Yarrowia lipolytica: one gene and its partners. The protein of the gene in region 4 binds, or shares a complex with, the protein of the main gene of each other region. Links are inferred from orthologs where the notes say so. Each region holds a gene or a part of one and is shown on either strand. Other genes may lie near its edges.

Region 1 (3,369 bases), on a different chromosome or scaffold from region 4:
TCAGGCCAGGTTTCCGAGCGAAAAATTTCTGAATCTGCATCTGGACGAAGAACACGACCCGTTCGTAGCGATATCACGTGACCGCGGCGACAAATATCTTGCATGTTTTGAGGAGGGCTGTGATAAACGGTTTGCAGAGTACAGGAAGAGGAGGATGCATCTGGTTGACAAGCATGGGTATCCGAAGAACTTCAGGTTTGGACTGGTGACAAAAGGACTGAAGGAGGGTGAGGTTTCGCTTTTGAAGCAGTGATGAGTCGAGGATGAGCAACTCAGGGCTAGACGGGTGGTTGTGAGTTTTTGGTTTCCAAACTCACAATGGGCACGTCTGAGGGGGATATCGCAAGCAGTGCTGTAGAGACGACGAGATCGACACAGCGCCAATAACTTTACATGTATACACATTCAACTGCCGATTCTGGCCACATACACTAACCATTCATCAAGGGTTATACAAATACATTGCATTATGTTTACATCTATGCTATATGAACCGCACTGGTTCATGTTAGGGATCGGTCTAATAGCAACTATGGCTTAACGACCTTCTTTTTCTTCTTCTTGAGAGGTTTTCGACCCAAACCAGCCAAAGTCTTCTCAGAGTAGGTAGTATCGCATGTAGGACATCTTCTGTTGCTGGGAATCTGGCTCATGATACACAGACAGACAGAGCAGACATAGCCAATATCCACCACCTGTTTAGTCAGGAAACATGCTGCTCGAAAGTCCACATTGGACTGGGTGGGCAGCACAATATGGGGTCGTAAACTGGGGTCTGAGATAAAGCCCGATAGCAGATACTGAACCAAACCCTTGGGTGTTTTGGAGTTCTTTTCACTGATATCCATGTAGATGCCGTGTGTCGAGTCGCATGCTTGTTGCAGAAAGACCTGGTCGGATCCAGGACCCAGTTTGCACACATCGACGGGGATCTTGAGCTTTTGGGCGGCGAAAATGCAGTTCATAGTAGGGATGTATTGGATGGTTTCGTTTTTGTGTCCGACGGTGAGCAGCAGGATCCTTGCTCGCATTCTCGACTCGTCCACAAACACATGTTTGTTTATGAACCCTAGAGCTAGACTCAGTGCTCCGGAGATGGCCGAGTTGTGTTGTTTCTCCTCCTCCACGTAGTTGGTGTGGTTCAGCATGTTCCACAGCTCCGTCTGCACAACCTCGTCCACCGTCTTGAATTGTCTGTACATGGAGTGGTCCTTCTTGCTGGGTGCCTGTTCTCCATCGCTTACACTCTCCGATCTCTCTTCTCTCTCCTTTGATCTAGTCGATTCAACGCCGCTTTTAGGAGGATACAAAATTCGAGCACCACTGGCGTTGTATCCAATCACATTAACGCTGTTGGAGTTGTGCAGAGCCAAGTGGGCGTTGATGAAGACGAGAATGGAAGCCACAGCCTCCGAGATGGATATTTGCGACTTGATTTCTTCCCACGACGGCACATGGGCGTCAATGATGATCGACAACAACGACGGCGTGTCGTCCAGAGTCTGATCCTCCGTGTCCTTGAGCTGGCGGGACGTTCCATCAATGGCGTTCATGGTGGTGGAGGAAGGCTTCGGTGTCTGAAAAGTAGATGTTAGATAGAGGATTTGAGTTTGCTGATTTGAATGAGCTGCGAAAGTACCAGTACAATCCTGTCTTGTACTTGTACGAGTGTACAGTTCTTTTTACACGTGTATAGGGGTGGGTACATATTGATGTGATCATGTGATATAATTAGTTGATACTGTACTGTGAGTGGGATTACTTATCCAGTTCCTTTCTTCTCGGTCTCCATCAAAGCTTAGTCATGTCATATTTCAGTGGTCAGCCAGCCTGAACTTACCTCCCTACAATATCGTGCCAGTAGAGTGAATCGAACTCACGCCACTGCCCATACAATTGTAACATGTCGCTCTATCACACTCAGGGTTCGTATTTGAAGCTGTTATGCATCACTGATCGGTTCGAAACTCGGCCCGGATCTTCAATCCATGGTCCAAAGTGCTCAGAATGTCCCGGCTTCCACTTCCGCTTCCTCATTCTTCTTTTCATTTCATACACCCCGTCTACAAGTAGTGCCTTCCTCATAACAGAGTTCGAGTCTCATGCAGGTCTAAACCTCCACTGATATTTTTCATTTAAGCGTTCACCTCATTTTCGAGTTTTGGCCTGACCCCTATATACCCCAAGACACTCCCCAAAATGGCCGCCACCAACAGACAGATCTTGACGCAGGGCGACCGGTCATACGCCAAGAAAAAAACTAGCCAGTTTGGCGTGGATGAGGTCTCCTACGACGCCGCCAACCGGAAGGAGTACCTGACGGGCTTCCGAAAGCGAAAGCTGCAACGAAAGGAAAAGGCGCAAGAGAAGGCCAAGGAGCAGGCGCGGCTGGACCGGATCGCCGAGCGGAAAAAATTGCGAGACGAAAGAAAAGGTGACCAGGAAAAGGAGCGAGCTCGAATGCAGAAGGCCATGAAGGATATCGAGAGAGCTCGATCGGGCTATTTCAGCACTGACGACGAGAAGGATTCTGATTCTGGCGACGAGTCTGAGGATGAAGAGGAGGACGAAGAGGAGGACGAAGAGAAGACTTTAAAGAAGTCGAAAAAGTCGTCTAGCACTGATGAAGACGACTTCTCCGACTGGGAGGGTATCGATAAGCCCGGAGTGCTCAAGAAGCAAAAGAAGAAGTACGTGGACGGTCAGGGAAAGAAAACCACGGTGACCATTGAGGCCGTGTCCCTTGATTCCGATGATGAGGACCAGAACAACACATATGTGGACATGTCCAAGGCTGACGAGGTCTTGAAGGAAAGCTTGGACAAGGCTGGTCTGGCCGCTGTCTACTCCGGCATGGCTGAGCCCAAGGTCAAGAAGCTGGTCAAGAAGACCAAGAAGAAGTTCCGATACCTGTCTTCCACTGAACGAAAGAAGAACCTGGACAAGGAGCGAGCTCGAGCCAAGGCCAAGCGAACCAAGAAGGAGTAGGACACGTTGGACCGTACTGGTAGATAGTTTATTGCATGCATGTATTATAGGATAGCCAGGAATAGGGCGTAGATATGGTTGGAGTGAGTTGTAACGAGTTTCAGTGTGTTGCGTGTGATATGAATTCAACACCGAAGTGCGAACTTACTACGTATATATCTACAGTACATACTGTACTATTATCAGATCATTAGCCGTTACTCCTGGATAAATAAAATGCTCGAATACTTCTTTACAGCATATACACAAACTCCTTCTGGGTCTCACTGATGGTCGCATGATTTGTTCCACTGATGCGTCGTCGTTTCAGAAAGAAGACAATACCCAGAGTACCAAATACCGAAGCGATCATGAACCCCATGTTGATCCAACATCCCCGTT
Region 2 (4,578 bases), about 1.0 Mb from region 4:
ACCCAAGTATTCAGCTCAGCTATGAGCTTGCTGACTCTTACGCTACTAACGATGTCGGAACCATCGAGGTCACTGTGGAGAGAGATGTGTACGAGGAGGATGAGCGTGCTAATCTGGAGGTGGTTGCTCCCCTGTTCCCCCAGCCCAAGACGGAGAACTGGTGGATCGTGGTTGGAAATACCAAGACAAAGCAGATTTTTGGTATCAAGCGAGTCACCTTGCCTCTCGAGTCCCAGACTTTCAACATCGATGTCTCGTTCCCCGAGCATGGAGAGGTCAGTGGTCACGTTTGGTGCATTTGCGACTCGTATGTTGATGCGGATGCCGAGAAGAAGTTCACAGTGACTGTGGCTGAGGGTGAGGAAGCGGAAGAGGTTGAAATGGAGGAGTAAGAGGATGATCATAAATTATGTATATTATTATTGTATTGTATAACCTTGCATTGACTGTGCCTGTGGACTGCTCTTGTGTTTTAATTAAATAATGCTTGTTATATTATATGCTGCTACGGATATCTGTACGTACCGTTGTTATCGAGCAGCAATTTCTTTTTTGGCTTGTTCGACTTCTCTGAGACCCTCTTCAAGATCCTTTTCATCGATATCCATGGCATCCTCGGGGGCAAGTCGGTAACCTCCATCCTTTTTGGATCCCTGGTACTCCTGAAGCTGCTCCAATGACCACACTGAAACACCCTCCTGGTCTTCCTTGTTCATAGGCTGGGCCATAGTTCGCAAAAACTTCTTGGCTGCAGCTAGAGCCATATCTGTGGACAGATTTGTGTCAGCATCCAAAATGGCCTGGTTGATCCATTTGGGCAGCTGGTTTCGCTTCTTGGCAAAACGTCTGTCAGCCAACACCATGACACCGTAGTCATCTTTACCTCGCAAGACTCGTCCCAGACACTGGGCAGCATGGCGCATGGCATCGAAAGACAAGAAGTCGTTCTCTCGAATGTGGTAGTTATCTCGCAAAAACTCGAGACGAGCCTTCAAGATACGCGACTCGGTGTACTGAAAAGGAACACCAATCATAAGCACAGTTCTTCCAAACTGGTGGTCGAAATCGATACCTTCCGAAACCTTTCCTCGAGCGACACAGAGCATGACAGCGCCTCGACCGTTGGAGCAGGCAGTTCGGTAAGTTTCTAAGGCAAGAGAGGTTTCCTGAGCATCAGGAGTCTCGACCAGAATGAGTTTGTACTTCCACACTTCGTCCAGAATACCCATAGTCTGCCACATGGAAATGATAGACTCCATGTAAAGATATGAAGGGAAGAAGACGACAAGGCCATCAGGTGTGATCTTAGAAAATTCAATCAGAAGGTTACCGTAGTTTCGGACAACTGAAGGATCGTTTCGGATCTCGAATCGAGAACTGATGGCTACCTGGTCTGAACCCTTGGTCACAATGAGAGGACAGAAGGCTCGCCGTGCCAGTGTCATGGTGTACGACTCCTGAACCACAGTCTCGAAGTTCAACATTTTCGGGTACATATCTAGAGGGGAGATGGTACCGGATGTGATGATGATGCTTGAGAACCGATCAAAGACAGGCTTGATAGCAATGGAGGCGTCCAAACATGTAAGATGCAAAATGGGGTTAGGAACGGTGGCCTGATCGGTCTCAAAGGGCTCCAGAATGAGCTGGAAGCCGGTGTCGTAGGTAGACACCAAGGTGGCGAACACAGCAATCTCCTTGAGAGCAGTGTAATCATCGACGTGAGTCAACTCGAGGGTTCTGACCAGATACGATAGACGCTCAGCGCAGAATCGAAGAGGCTTTCGTTCAATGTATGTCAAATCTCGAAGATGTTTCAAGAACGATGCAGGGGTTTCGGAAATGACATGAAGCACCTTCATTCGACTCTTGAGATATTCAATGAATCGTTTCAAGAAGGCCACGAAATGTTCTGCCTTTCGAATGTTTCCAGGCACAGCTTCCGAAATAAGATCTTCAGGGAGCACAGGGTTAGCGAGAAACGTATCTTCTTGTTCTCCGGATTCCAGATCTCGCAATCCATCCACCAGTTTGTTGTATTCATTTTTCAATTTCTCAGAGTCGCTGGATCGGGCCTCACTGACCTTCTTGGCCAGATGGTTTGCTCCCCGAGTGGCTCGTTTCAAGGAGTCTTCAGTAATGTCGACAGACAGAGCCTCAATGCAGACGTTGTCGATATTATGGGCCTCATCAAAAATGACAATGCAGTCTTTGCTCAGCTCCTTGGAAACTCGGTCGGCGATCTTGGGATCGAGTAGATAATGATAAGAGTAGATGATGACGTTGCAGAAGGCCATCATTCGACGCACAGTAAAATAAGGACATGTCTTGTGCTCCTCGCCATACGCCAAAATGTCCTCAAAGGTGAAAACACCAGGTGGAATGTAGTTGTGAGGCTCAATGTCGTTCATGTTCTCGTGGTATTCACATAGAGTAACGTCTTCTCCTGCAGCCAGCTTCTGCTTGGCAATTCCAGATGTCATGGCTCGGCACTTCTCGTCGACAATGTAACCTTTCTTTTCGTATCGCACATTGGGATTCAGACACAGGTTCTTTCGTGAGGTCAGACCCAGCCCTCTAAAGTCCTCCTCAAAGCCTAGAGTCTCAGTTCGAAACTTCATGAGGTTCTTCAACTCAGCCAGAGCCTTCTCGATCTCCGACATTGTTCGGGAACAATAAATGATCTTTCGATGCTCGGGATAGTGTTGCTGGTACGCCACTGTCAGAGACAACAGGGAGACAGTCTTGCCTGTTCCTGAAGGCATTTCCAAGATGCAGTTGCCTCCCACGTCCAGGGTTTTCTTGATGTCGCACATGTAGGCATACTGCTCGGGATAGATCCGAGGGTATGGCCACAACACCGGCAGATCATCGATGTAGAACTTCATCTCTGGTGGTTGATCTGTCGCAACGAATGGTGCTACTGATATATCAAGGTTGTGTAATGCATGGCGTCGTGGTTAGGGTAGATTGTTTTGGGAGGAGCTGGGGATCTGAAAAATTTATCAGGAGTGTGTAAACGGCTCATAACCCAATAATGGTATCATTAATAGTAATCATGTCCGTAAGCTGTCTATCTGTTTACTTTTTAATTCTGATCTTGTGTGCATGTATTCCTGGATGCTCATAACCTCTGAACCCTAATAAGTTTTTTCAAGCGCTGTAGCTAAATTTTTTTTTCATCCTGCAGTCTCACACATCACACTACAACAATGGGCAAAGACAAGGGAGATATCACCGTTGAGATTGACGAGGTCGACAACTACGACGCTCGAATGGAGGCTCTGCTGCCCTTCGCCAAGCCTCTTGCCCCCAAGAAGCTCAACAAGAAGGTGCTCAAGACCGTGAAGAAGGCTTCCAAGGCCAAGCACGTTAAGCGAGGTGTCAAGGAGGTTGTCAAGGCTCTCCGAAAGGGCGAGAAGGGTCTTGTCATCATCGCTGGAGACATTTCTCCCATGGATGTCGTCTCTCACATTCCCGTTCTCTGTGAGGACAACGGTGTTCCTTACCTCTTCATCCCCTCCAAGGAGGATCTCGGAGCTGCCGGTGCTACTAAGCGACCCACTTCCACCGTCATGATTGTTCCCGGCGGAGGCAAGAGTAAAAAGGCCGACACCAAGGTCGAGTACAAGGAGAACTTTGACGAGATTGTCAAGGACGTCAAGAAGCTCGAGGATTAGTTATTTATAATGTACACTAGCATGAGAAAGGAAGGAAGAGGGTGTCAACTAATCTTGACAGTAGGGTCCGATGGTTAGGATAGTCGGACTAAATTATGTATAGAATGTTACCTATTCGATTTGTTGTTCGTAGTGGGATTGTCCGAGTGCAGCAGTACCTCCTTCAATGTCAGACGCTACAGTATGTACAAGTACCGGTACTGTAGATACTTCATACACTATTAAGGACTGTACTTGTGCTTTTTTCTGTATTGTAGTTGGATCCACGAGTGGAGGGCGTTGCTGCTGTAATATATCTTCTCGTTTCTTCATCAATAATTATCTAGATACTCTAGGGGCATGGTCTCATTACTTCGTCATCGGGCCTTGTCGTCTTAGTAGTGTCACCTTAGTGGTGGTGGTCCAACCACTCGAGAAAGTCGGGGGTAAAGTAAGAGATAAGGAGGTTGGCTCCGGCTCGCAGGTTACCGTAGGCCGCCTCGAAGGCCATCACCTCCAGATCAACAACGCCCTTCTCGGCAGCTGCGTGGATCATGGCGTACTCTCCGGAAACCTGGTAGGTAGCAATAGGCACGTCCTTGCAGATCTCAGCAGCGTCCACCACGATATCCAGGTAAAAGGTGGAAGGCTTGACAATGACGGCATCGGCACCTTCGGCCAGGTCTCGAGCAAGAGCTCGTCGAGCGAGACCTCGACCGCCAGCGGGGAGCTGGTATCGCTTTCGGTCTCCGTGGCTGGGAGCAGAGCAGGCAGCCTCTCGGAAAGGTCCGTACAGGTTTCCGGAGAACTTAGTGTAGCTCATAACCATGACGTTGTGGGCAAGACCGGCCTTGAGCAAGCCCTTTTTGATGTCGTGGATTCGACCGTCAATCATGTCCGAGGGTGCCACACAGTCAGC
Region 3 (3,984 bases), on a different chromosome or scaffold from region 4:
CGTGAATGAGGGCTCGATTGTCCCAGACCAGCGCCTGCTGCGGTCGTTGCGATCGATTCTGTCGCAGCTCAGTGCATCTTCTAATAGCGAGCTCAAGGACAGTCTTCAAGAGTCGCAGGCTCTTACTGCTGCTTTCCTGGCCACTGTGTTTCAGGGCACCCAGCTTACTGCCAGTCTCAAGGCTCAGGGTCTCTTGATGGACCGGCCAGCGAAAAAGTCGCTACGACGGCGACGAGGCGAGGCTCGCGACTTTATGCCCCAGCGAGCCAAAAAGTGGGATGGCGACACGGACGACGATTTTGAGATTCTCGTTTAGCTTTACTTACGTATCGTGATGATTTATTAAGCATTTTAACACACGTGGTTTTTGTTACTGTAATTATTGTAGTGTAGAGTGTACATACACTGTGCGGTAAAATAAATACGTTTGTGTCGATTCAAATGAATTATGTATCTATGTCGTATTGGTATTGTATACATGTGCCCGAAAGAGAAGGCACCCAGTGATTTATAGCCTTGTTCATTTGTAATTACTCCCCCCAGGTAGGAGCTTGTCCTCCTTCATTCCAAGCTGGACCCTCGTTATCATTAACTACCCTCACCTTGACTGGTCTAGAGCTCTCCTCTCCGTCTGGATCGGGCCGCTTCATCACCAGCTTAAGAGAAGGAGCTGCATCCTTGTGTTTGGTGACCACCACCTGGTAGAGAGAGTAGCTGCGTGCCTGGCAGCCAATGCAGTTGTGTAGAATTTCGTGGCAGAAGACGTCACAGTCGATGCAAAAATGAGAGTGGCAGGTGGGACACTCATACCGTGACGTCATGGAGCCATCGGCTTGGATGTTTTTTGCATCTCTTGCCACCACTGGGAACTTGGATTGACAGCCTGCACAGAATTCAGACTTGTGTGCGTTCTTGCAGGGGACTTCAATAAATGGAGCCAGGGGGAAAAGATGGTGATACGATCTGGCCAGATGGGTGGACAGAATAAGTGTGAGACCACAGCAGGGGCAGACTGTGGGGAGTGAAGACACCTTGACCTTACATTGCGGACAGACGTATCCACCTTGTGTGAGAGCTGCATCGGAGGCCGAAAGAGAGGGAGCTGCTTCTGAAACCTTTGAAGGAAATCCCATGAGCACCAGGGATGCTGGATTGGCGCTCTGGCTTTGTTGTGACTCTGCCAAGGGTGTAGTAGCCTCGTCCATGAGCTCCTGGAAATGCTGTTCGTTCAGCACGACACCATAGTATGAAGCGTCTCCAAAGTTGGTTTTGACACACAGTTCCTTGCAGATCGCCACCTGCGCCGCCAGACCAATGACTCGGGCTCGGACCTTGTCAATAACGAGCTTGTCGATGGTTACGTGGATATCTCCTGGGTCAGCCGACAACAAGGCACCCAGAACAACCAGTACCTCCTTAGTGCAATGAGAAGGCACATGGAAAAGCAGACCTCGAGCCATTTCAAGAGCATTTTGAAGAGATGGATCACCTTGAGGCTCGAGCTTTTTGGCTGCCGTCAGGGCGTTAATGTGGTCGTTGGGGTTACTGCCCAATGTCGATATGCTGATTGCCTGTCCGTTTCTCATGCCCAGAATTCCGAGCTGAGAAATGGGATTCTGGTCGAAGAAGTTGGTTACGAATTCAATGGCATGGTTAATGACAAATTGGTACCTGTTTGGTCTGAGATCGGACTCTTTCATGGCAAACGAAAAGTCGAGCACCAAAATCAGGTTTCGAATGATACCTCTCTGGAACGGAGTTGCATCCTTGATGTGTCGTTTCTTTCTTGCTTCCACAAGACCCGCCACCGAGCCTGCCAGCGATCCTCCCTCGTCCTCTTGCACGACGTCCCAAGATCTATGGTATTCGTCTTCCCATGAGTATCCTCCATTGGCCATCTTCATGTTCTCCACCGAGCCTCCGGCGCCCTTGGGGGCCTGGTTTCGTCGCGACCGCCGAGGGGCACCCTGGTACTCGTCTCCACTAATGTTTTCAATGTAGTCGTCGTCCGAGTCGTCCATGGTGTGCTGAGATGTGTACTCGTACCCGTACTAGATAAGAGTATGAAGAGATGAGTGTTGTATGCATGCTTGCCATACAACGGAAGAAGCAGGACGTCGATACAAGGCGGCATTAGAATAGGTTTAAAGATTTGAAAGCAATTCTAAGTGGATTATTCGCCGTCGAAACAAATTTACAGAAATTAATATAGCCACTCCACTTCTTCTCCGCCATCTCATACACCGCTGTCTCTTGGCTGGGTCACATGACGAAGCTAATTTTTGGAGTATGGTTTCTGTCATACTCTAGTCAACACCCACACGTCGGAACGTTCATCACGTCGAACAAAAATCACCACACATCTCATCGAACCCAGACACCAACACAAAGACAACATGTCGCTCATACAAGACATTTTGGACGTGTTGCTAGCCGACGCCGTCGGAAAGACTGTGCTCTCCACAAAGGCAGTGCCCCAGGTGTCGCCTCAGTCCACAAACCTGTCGGTGCTTGCAAGCTATGCCCAACACAACGTTGCTGATCTGACCTCGGTATCCGAGAAGGCGTATGATTCGGTGCGCAACTTGTACGTGGACGTCAAGACCGCAGCCGTCCAGGCTCTGGTGGCGCTGCCAATTGGCTCGGAGAAGTATCTGGAGGTGGACCGGTTCTTCAAGTTTGCCGCAGCCCTCATCATCCGAGAAGGCTCGCGGATGGACCTGTTTGGAGGCAAGGACCCCGAGGATGTGGTACCCGAGGACGTGACGGAGTTCGAGGAGGAAATCGTGGCCGACTACGCCGACTTGACTGCGGACTTGGAGTCGTGGAGCGCAGAATCGTTTCTGGTCATGGGCCAGAATGGACCTCTGTTTTCGACGTTGTCCACCAAATCGGCCATCGACCCGCGCCCAAGTATAACCCCGGGCGCGTTCCAGGTAACCAACGTACTGCCACGTACCCGGTCGGTTCCGGCCTACCAACTGGGCTACCTCACACCTGCCGTGTCGCGACTTCCACACCCAGCCCTGCCTCCGACAGAGATGATGACGCACTTTGTGCACCCCAACGGCTCCGAGTTGGCGCCCAGCCGGTTCCTGCGGATGGACGCAAACTCGTCCTTTGCCCCCACTAGCGACAGTGGTAAGGCCGTCTACGACCCCGCTTCAACCGGAGCTCTGTGGTACGAGAAGGTTGGGCGACTGCGAGAAAGCGCCATCGACGACGCTCTTGGAAAGAACGACACCAAAAAGGAGGATACTAACGACGTGGAGATGAATGACGCGACTGAGGCTAAGGTGGAGGGACAGGAAGAGGAAGAGGAGAAGGGGGGACAGGGAGAGGAAGAGGAAGACCTCCAGCCTCTGTTTAGAGATGAAGATGTCGACCCCTCCAAGGATCTGCCCATGGAAGACATTCTCCAATGGCACCCTCGAAACTTCATTGACGACGACGAGTTCGAAGCCATCAAAACTGGCACCGAGCTCGAGTTTGTCAGCAGACTCATGCTCCAACTGCAACAACTCCAGGCAGACCGTTTGGCCACACCTGACATACCTCCACCAGTGTCGTTTGAGGAGCGACGGCTTGCAATGAAAATCGAGGGTGTGTTGGGACGGCTGCTGCAATCCACCGAGGGCATCGACATTGCTAACTCCAAGATCAAGCCTTCCACTAACATCCCTGCTCTCAAAACAAACTATCTGGGTGTTTTGCCGGCCCCTGAACCTCCAAAGCCCATTTCTTCCGTCGGACGTCTACCTTCTGGTCCCAAGACCCGACGGGCTAAGCGGTAGATGGGTGAGATAGAACGGTGATATTTGGGGGAGACGCCATGGCGTGACTCCTGGCACGGGCTGCCAGGACCTGTATTAGTTAGGATAATGTATGTTTAGTAATTTTCCGGGGTGTGAAACAATCTAAATGCTGTCAGCTAGAATAGGTCAAGATCGACGGGTAGCATCACAAGTACATACTGTACTGTAT
Region 4 (3,843 bases):
ATGATCCCTTTGGACTGGACGACTATGAAGACACTGATGACGAGGCAGAACCTGCTGCTCCCGCTGCCCCTACTTCCCGAAGCGACGAAATTGTTGCTTTGGCTGAGAAGTGGCATGCAAAGCTCATTACCCTATTCAAGCTCGTTCAGGCTCTGGCATCACGATACTCGTCTCTATGCAAGGCTGATGCTGATGCCACTTCCAAGGACAGACTTGTAAGTGTCAACTCCCGTATTTATAAGCTTGCTGCCGGCGTCGACGACCTTGTCACCGGCTTCCTCATGAACAGCTCTGTCGCTGAGCTTGAGGGTGAATCTACCAAACTGGACGAGCTAGTGCGAGACTTGGCAAAGTCCGAGCGACTCAGCCCCGACGGGTCCAGCGATGCTGTCACTGTCTATATTGACAGTGCTTTTTCCTCCGCTTATGGGCTTTAATGAAGGAAATGTCTGGGCAGTATATAGTATGGATTGAATAACTTCAACGTTGACATCGCTTGTTTTATTAGTGCGATCTATTATATGCTATGGTTTTGATGGTCAATTTCTAGTTGGTCAGTTTGCGGAGCTACGGTGCTTTTGATTTCGTCGTTTGACAAACTCAACAATCTGCTGAGAACCAGCAAGCGTAGACACGAACTTTCGCTTTCCAGGATTCTCATACAAGAGAACGCCCAGCTCCTTGGCATAAGTGGAGACATCCTTGTACTCGTCAAAGTTTTTGAACTCGGAGAACAAGTAACCGTCGGTGGCTCGGATTCTGTCCATCTCAAGTTGCCACAGTTTGATCTGATCCACCACAGTAGGGGGAAGAACGTGTTCCATCCCCTTCATACGTGGGTGTGCATGAACAGAGAGATATGTGATGATTTGTTCGGCAGTAATACCGTTTGAGAGCGCAAATCGAACCGAGTCTCGGTTGATCTGACCGGTAACCATGTTTGCAAATCGTGTCTTAAGATTGACAAAAAGGTTCAGTACTGCGATCTGTAGTGGAGACTCTGTGTAGGCGTAGAGTCTGAAATTAGTTTCCAGAATGATAAATCCAGAGTCGGCAGCAACAGAAGACGAAATTGTGTCTTGTGTAGCTGCTTCCATGCTCTGACTGGCTGTTCTAAGTGCAGCCGTTTCTGATGTCAGAGTAGTAGCCAGTCGCGTAGGATAGAATCGTCTAGACGATGCTTTTCGCTGGTAGACGATACCGTAATCCCGCAGATCCTCCAGCATGTGTTTCTGTGTCTCGGAGAGTGCACTGAGCGAGTAGTCCTGGCCTAGCTCGAGAGAACCTAGCATGAAAATGAAGTTGAGCACGTCTACAGGATCCATCTGCAGATACTCGGACATGTTGAGATACTGGAGCAACAGTGTCCAAATCTGAGCATTTACATCCTGTAGCAAGAACTGGAATCCTGCATTGGTGATTCTCAGTCCTCCCCGTTCGGGTTCCATAAGTCCACTGTGCTTCAGCAGGTTGAGCACTCCATCACTGGGTGTTCTTCCAATCGACGTTCCGACCATAAAATGTAAGATCATCTCCCATTGAGAGACAGCGTGAGCATCCAAAAACGCCACATCCACCTTGTGTTTGTCTTCCGTGTCGCAGGGCACTCCAAACGAAATGTTCTGGTCTCCTCCTACCAGAGCTGCCCTCAGGTTCTTTTTGAATGTCGGATTAATGATGATATGGGCCTGGGTCTCTGTGAAAATGTGGAGCAGTCGCAGTTTCTTCTGTGTTTCGAGCTTGAGTCGCTGACTTGAAGGCTTCACCAGAGCGTCGACGTCGGCTACTGCTATGGGATCGGGGTTGAAAATCATGCCCATGATGAGTGTTCTTGCCAGAGCAGGTAGCAGTCGGAACACCGCCAGACATGTGGCCGGAGACTGGTACAGCCGAGTTAGTACTGCCTCCGGAAGACCTTCCAGGTAGTCATTGATGCTGTTTTTGAACTGGCTCGTCATATCCACTGTGATTGCCGTATCAACAATGGTCAGTTTGTCATATCATGCAAGATCTTATTAGAGTTCTACATAAATGGATACTGGAGGAGAGTGAGGTAAGAGATGGCTATGGTTGATATGACAGGAGTGCGTGATTGAATGGCTACACCAAAACCATGGGTTTTCTCTTATTTTGAAAACCTTTCACTCTCTTAGTTCTCCTCCAATTCGAAATACTTGGGTCAAAAGAATATGTTCACGGTTGACAGAAATTATTTGTGCGTCAGTATGCGAATGGTTGGTTTACCGTTAAGTATTTTACTTTACTTTCGTTCAAGCTGACAACAAGCCATAGTGAACCATCCCTTCTATTGATTTAGAGCTGTTTTTTTTTGTCTGATCCGTTATCCTAGAGCTTTTTTATACCTCTTCGTACCTCTCCACCACTTTCTCTATCAACATCCACTCCCTCGTGGTTACGTGTTTACTTGTTTCCACGACCTCACGTCTCTTCGATGATCCCTTACGTTTACAACTTTAATTTGCAGGTACACGTTGCACAACACCTCAATGTAGGAGGAATGATGAAATGAATGATAGAAAGTGGTGAATTACCAACATTAATCCCATGGTGGTTTGAGTCAGAGTGTCAACTGAAATTGCCTGTCCCTCCCTCCCGCGTCGCTCCTGTCCCTACAACAGGTTACGAGTACCGTATGCAAGGACACACCCACCACACACATCACTGAACTCAAACGTGAGAACACGACATATCTAACTATCCATCAGAATGGTGAGTATGGAAACGACAGCTATGATCCGGCAATCAGCTAACCCAGGTGACCATAGGAAACACGCACGACGACCTCATCCACGACGCCGTCCTGGACTACTACGGCAAGCGATTGGCCACTTGTTCGTCTGACAAGACCATCAAGATCTTCGAGATTGATGGAGACAACCACAAACTCGTCGAGACGCTGCGAGGACACGAGGGCCCCGTTTGGCAGGTCAGCTGGGCCCATCCCAAGTTCGGCTCTATTATTGCCTCTGCCTCCTACGATGGCAAGGTGTTCATCTGGCGAGAGGAGAACGGTCGATGGACTAACATTGCTCAGCATCAGCACAATGCCTCCGTCAACTCGGTGGTGTGGGCTCCCCAGGAGTACGGGCCCCTACTCCTATGCGCTTCTTCCGACGGCAACGTGTCCGTAGTCGAGTTCAAGGAGGGAGGTAACTGCGAGGCCACCACTTTCGCCGCCCATGATGTGGGCGCCAACTCCGCCTCCTGGGCTCCCCCTGCCGTGTCCGGCTCGCTCATTCAGCCCATCAACGGCAAAGCATCAAACAACATTCGAATTGTCACTGGAGGATGCGACAACCTCGTCAAGATCTGGAAGTACGACCCCTCTTCCAAGACTTACGTGATTGAGGAGACACTTTCTGGCCACAAGGACTGGGTTCGAGACGTTGCCTGGTCTTCCTCTGTTCTGTCCAAGTCTTACATTGCTTCCGCTTCGCAGGATAAGACCGTCATTGTGTGGACCCAGGAGGGCAACCAGCCATGGAAGAAGAAGCTGCTTCAGGACATCCCCTTCCCCGATGTGGTGTGGAAGGTTAGCTGGTCTCTGTCCGGCAACGTGCTGGCAGTTTCTGGAGGCGACAACAAGGTCACTCTGTGGAAGGAGAATCTCACTGGCGAGTGGGAGTCCGCTGGTGTTGTCGAGGAGTAACCATAGAGAATATATGTATGAGTATTGTCGGGAGAAATTGTAGTGACATGCAATGGGAATACGGGTTTCAATGTTTATAAATACTGTAGAAAAACCTCCTACTATGTTCAATTATGTAAAGATCGTGTCTCGAGATCACCAATTGGAGGCACCTACCCATACAGTTGCCAGAT

Evidence for each region. Proteins that work in one complex are often made in the same cells at the same time.
Region 1: the proteins of YALI1_F37742g (region 4) and YALI1_C05820g are in contact, whole or in part, in a cryo-EM structure (PDB 7K01), measured with the Saccharomyces cerevisiae proteins. The link is inferred for Yarrowia lipolytica from reciprocal best matches to the Saccharomyces cerevisiae genes TFB2 and TFB4. Residues at the interface, in NP_015203.1 of Saccharomyces cerevisiae: Leu33, Tyr36, Arg37, Pro41, Lys44, Phe45, Met48, Ala49, Phe52, Asn53, Lys64, Trp65, Val66, Asn67, Ser68, Asn69, Gly70, Ala111, Leu112; in NP_015381.1 of Saccharomyces cerevisiae: Val59, Asn62, Ala63, Ala66, Phe67, Asn68, Met114, Arg117, Phe118, Ile245, Gln246, Ala249, Thr250, Phe253, Ile254, Leu258, Pro260, Ile261, Ile262, Lys264.
Region 2: YALI1_F37742g (region 4) and YALI1_F27663g share a complex: the UniProt entries of both Saccharomyces cerevisiae proteins name them as parts of the 7-subunit TFIIH core complex. The link is inferred for Yarrowia lipolytica from reciprocal best matches to the Saccharomyces cerevisiae genes TFB2 and RAD3.
Region 3: YALI1_F37742g (region 4) and YALI1_D35398g share a complex: the UniProt entries of both Saccharomyces cerevisiae proteins name them as parts of the 7-subunit TFIIH core complex. The link is inferred for Yarrowia lipolytica from reciprocal best matches to the Saccharomyces cerevisiae genes TFB2 and SSL1.

Annotation. Positions count from the first base shown.
Region 1 is NC_090772.1:580,229-583,597, reverse strand, and holds YALI1_C05820g (uncharacterized protein), read right to left. Parts: upstream 1,554-3,369; coding exon 531-1,553; downstream 1-530. Other genes in the region: YALI1_C05837g (uncharacterized protein), read left to right, coding at 1-253; YALI1_C05813g (uncharacterized protein), read left to right, coding at 2,200-2,988; YALI1_C05789g (uncharacterized protein), read right to left, coding at 3,221-3,369. UniProt on the Saccharomyces cerevisiae protein: Component of the general transcription and DNA repair factor IIH (TFIIH) core complex, which is involved in general and transcription-coupled nucleotide excision repair (NER) of damaged DNA and, when complexed to TFIIK, in RNA transcription by RNA polymerase II.
Region 2 is NC_090775.1:2,763,504-2,768,081, forward strand, and holds YALI1_F27663g (uncharacterized protein), read right to left. Parts: upstream 2,889-4,578; coding exon 531-2,888; downstream 1-530. Other genes in the region: YALI1_F27574g (uncharacterized protein), read left to right, coding at 1-392; YALI1_F27667g (uncharacterized protein), read left to right, coding at 3,213-3,680; YALI1_F27686g (uncharacterized protein), read right to left, coding at 4,069-4,578. UniProt on the Saccharomyces cerevisiae protein: ATP-dependent 5'-3' DNA helicase.
Region 3 is NC_090773.1:3,537,790-3,541,773, reverse strand, and holds YALI1_D35398g (uncharacterized protein), read right to left. Parts: upstream 2,022-3,984; coding exon 531-2,021; downstream 1-530. Other genes in the region: YALI1_D35424g (uncharacterized protein), read left to right, coding at 1-316; YALI1_D35394g (uncharacterized protein), read left to right, coding at 2,397-3,794. UniProt on the Saccharomyces cerevisiae protein: Component of the general transcription and DNA repair factor IIH (TFIIH) core complex, which is involved in general and transcription-coupled nucleotide excision repair (NER) of damaged DNA and, when complexed to TFIIK, in RNA transcription by RNA polymerase II.
Region 4 is NC_090775.1:3,772,378-3,776,220, reverse strand, and holds YALI1_F37742g (uncharacterized protein), read right to left. Parts: upstream 1,959-3,843; coding exon 555-1,958; downstream 1-554. Other genes in the region: YALI1_F37770g (uncharacterized protein), read left to right, coding at 1-437; YALI1_F37734g (uncharacterized protein), read left to right, coding at 2,728-2,730, 2,777-3,670. UniProt on the Saccharomyces cerevisiae protein: Component of the general transcription and DNA repair factor IIH (TFIIH) core complex, which is involved in general and transcription-coupled nucleotide excision repair (NER) of damaged DNA and, when complexed to TFIIK, in RNA transcription by RNA polymerase II.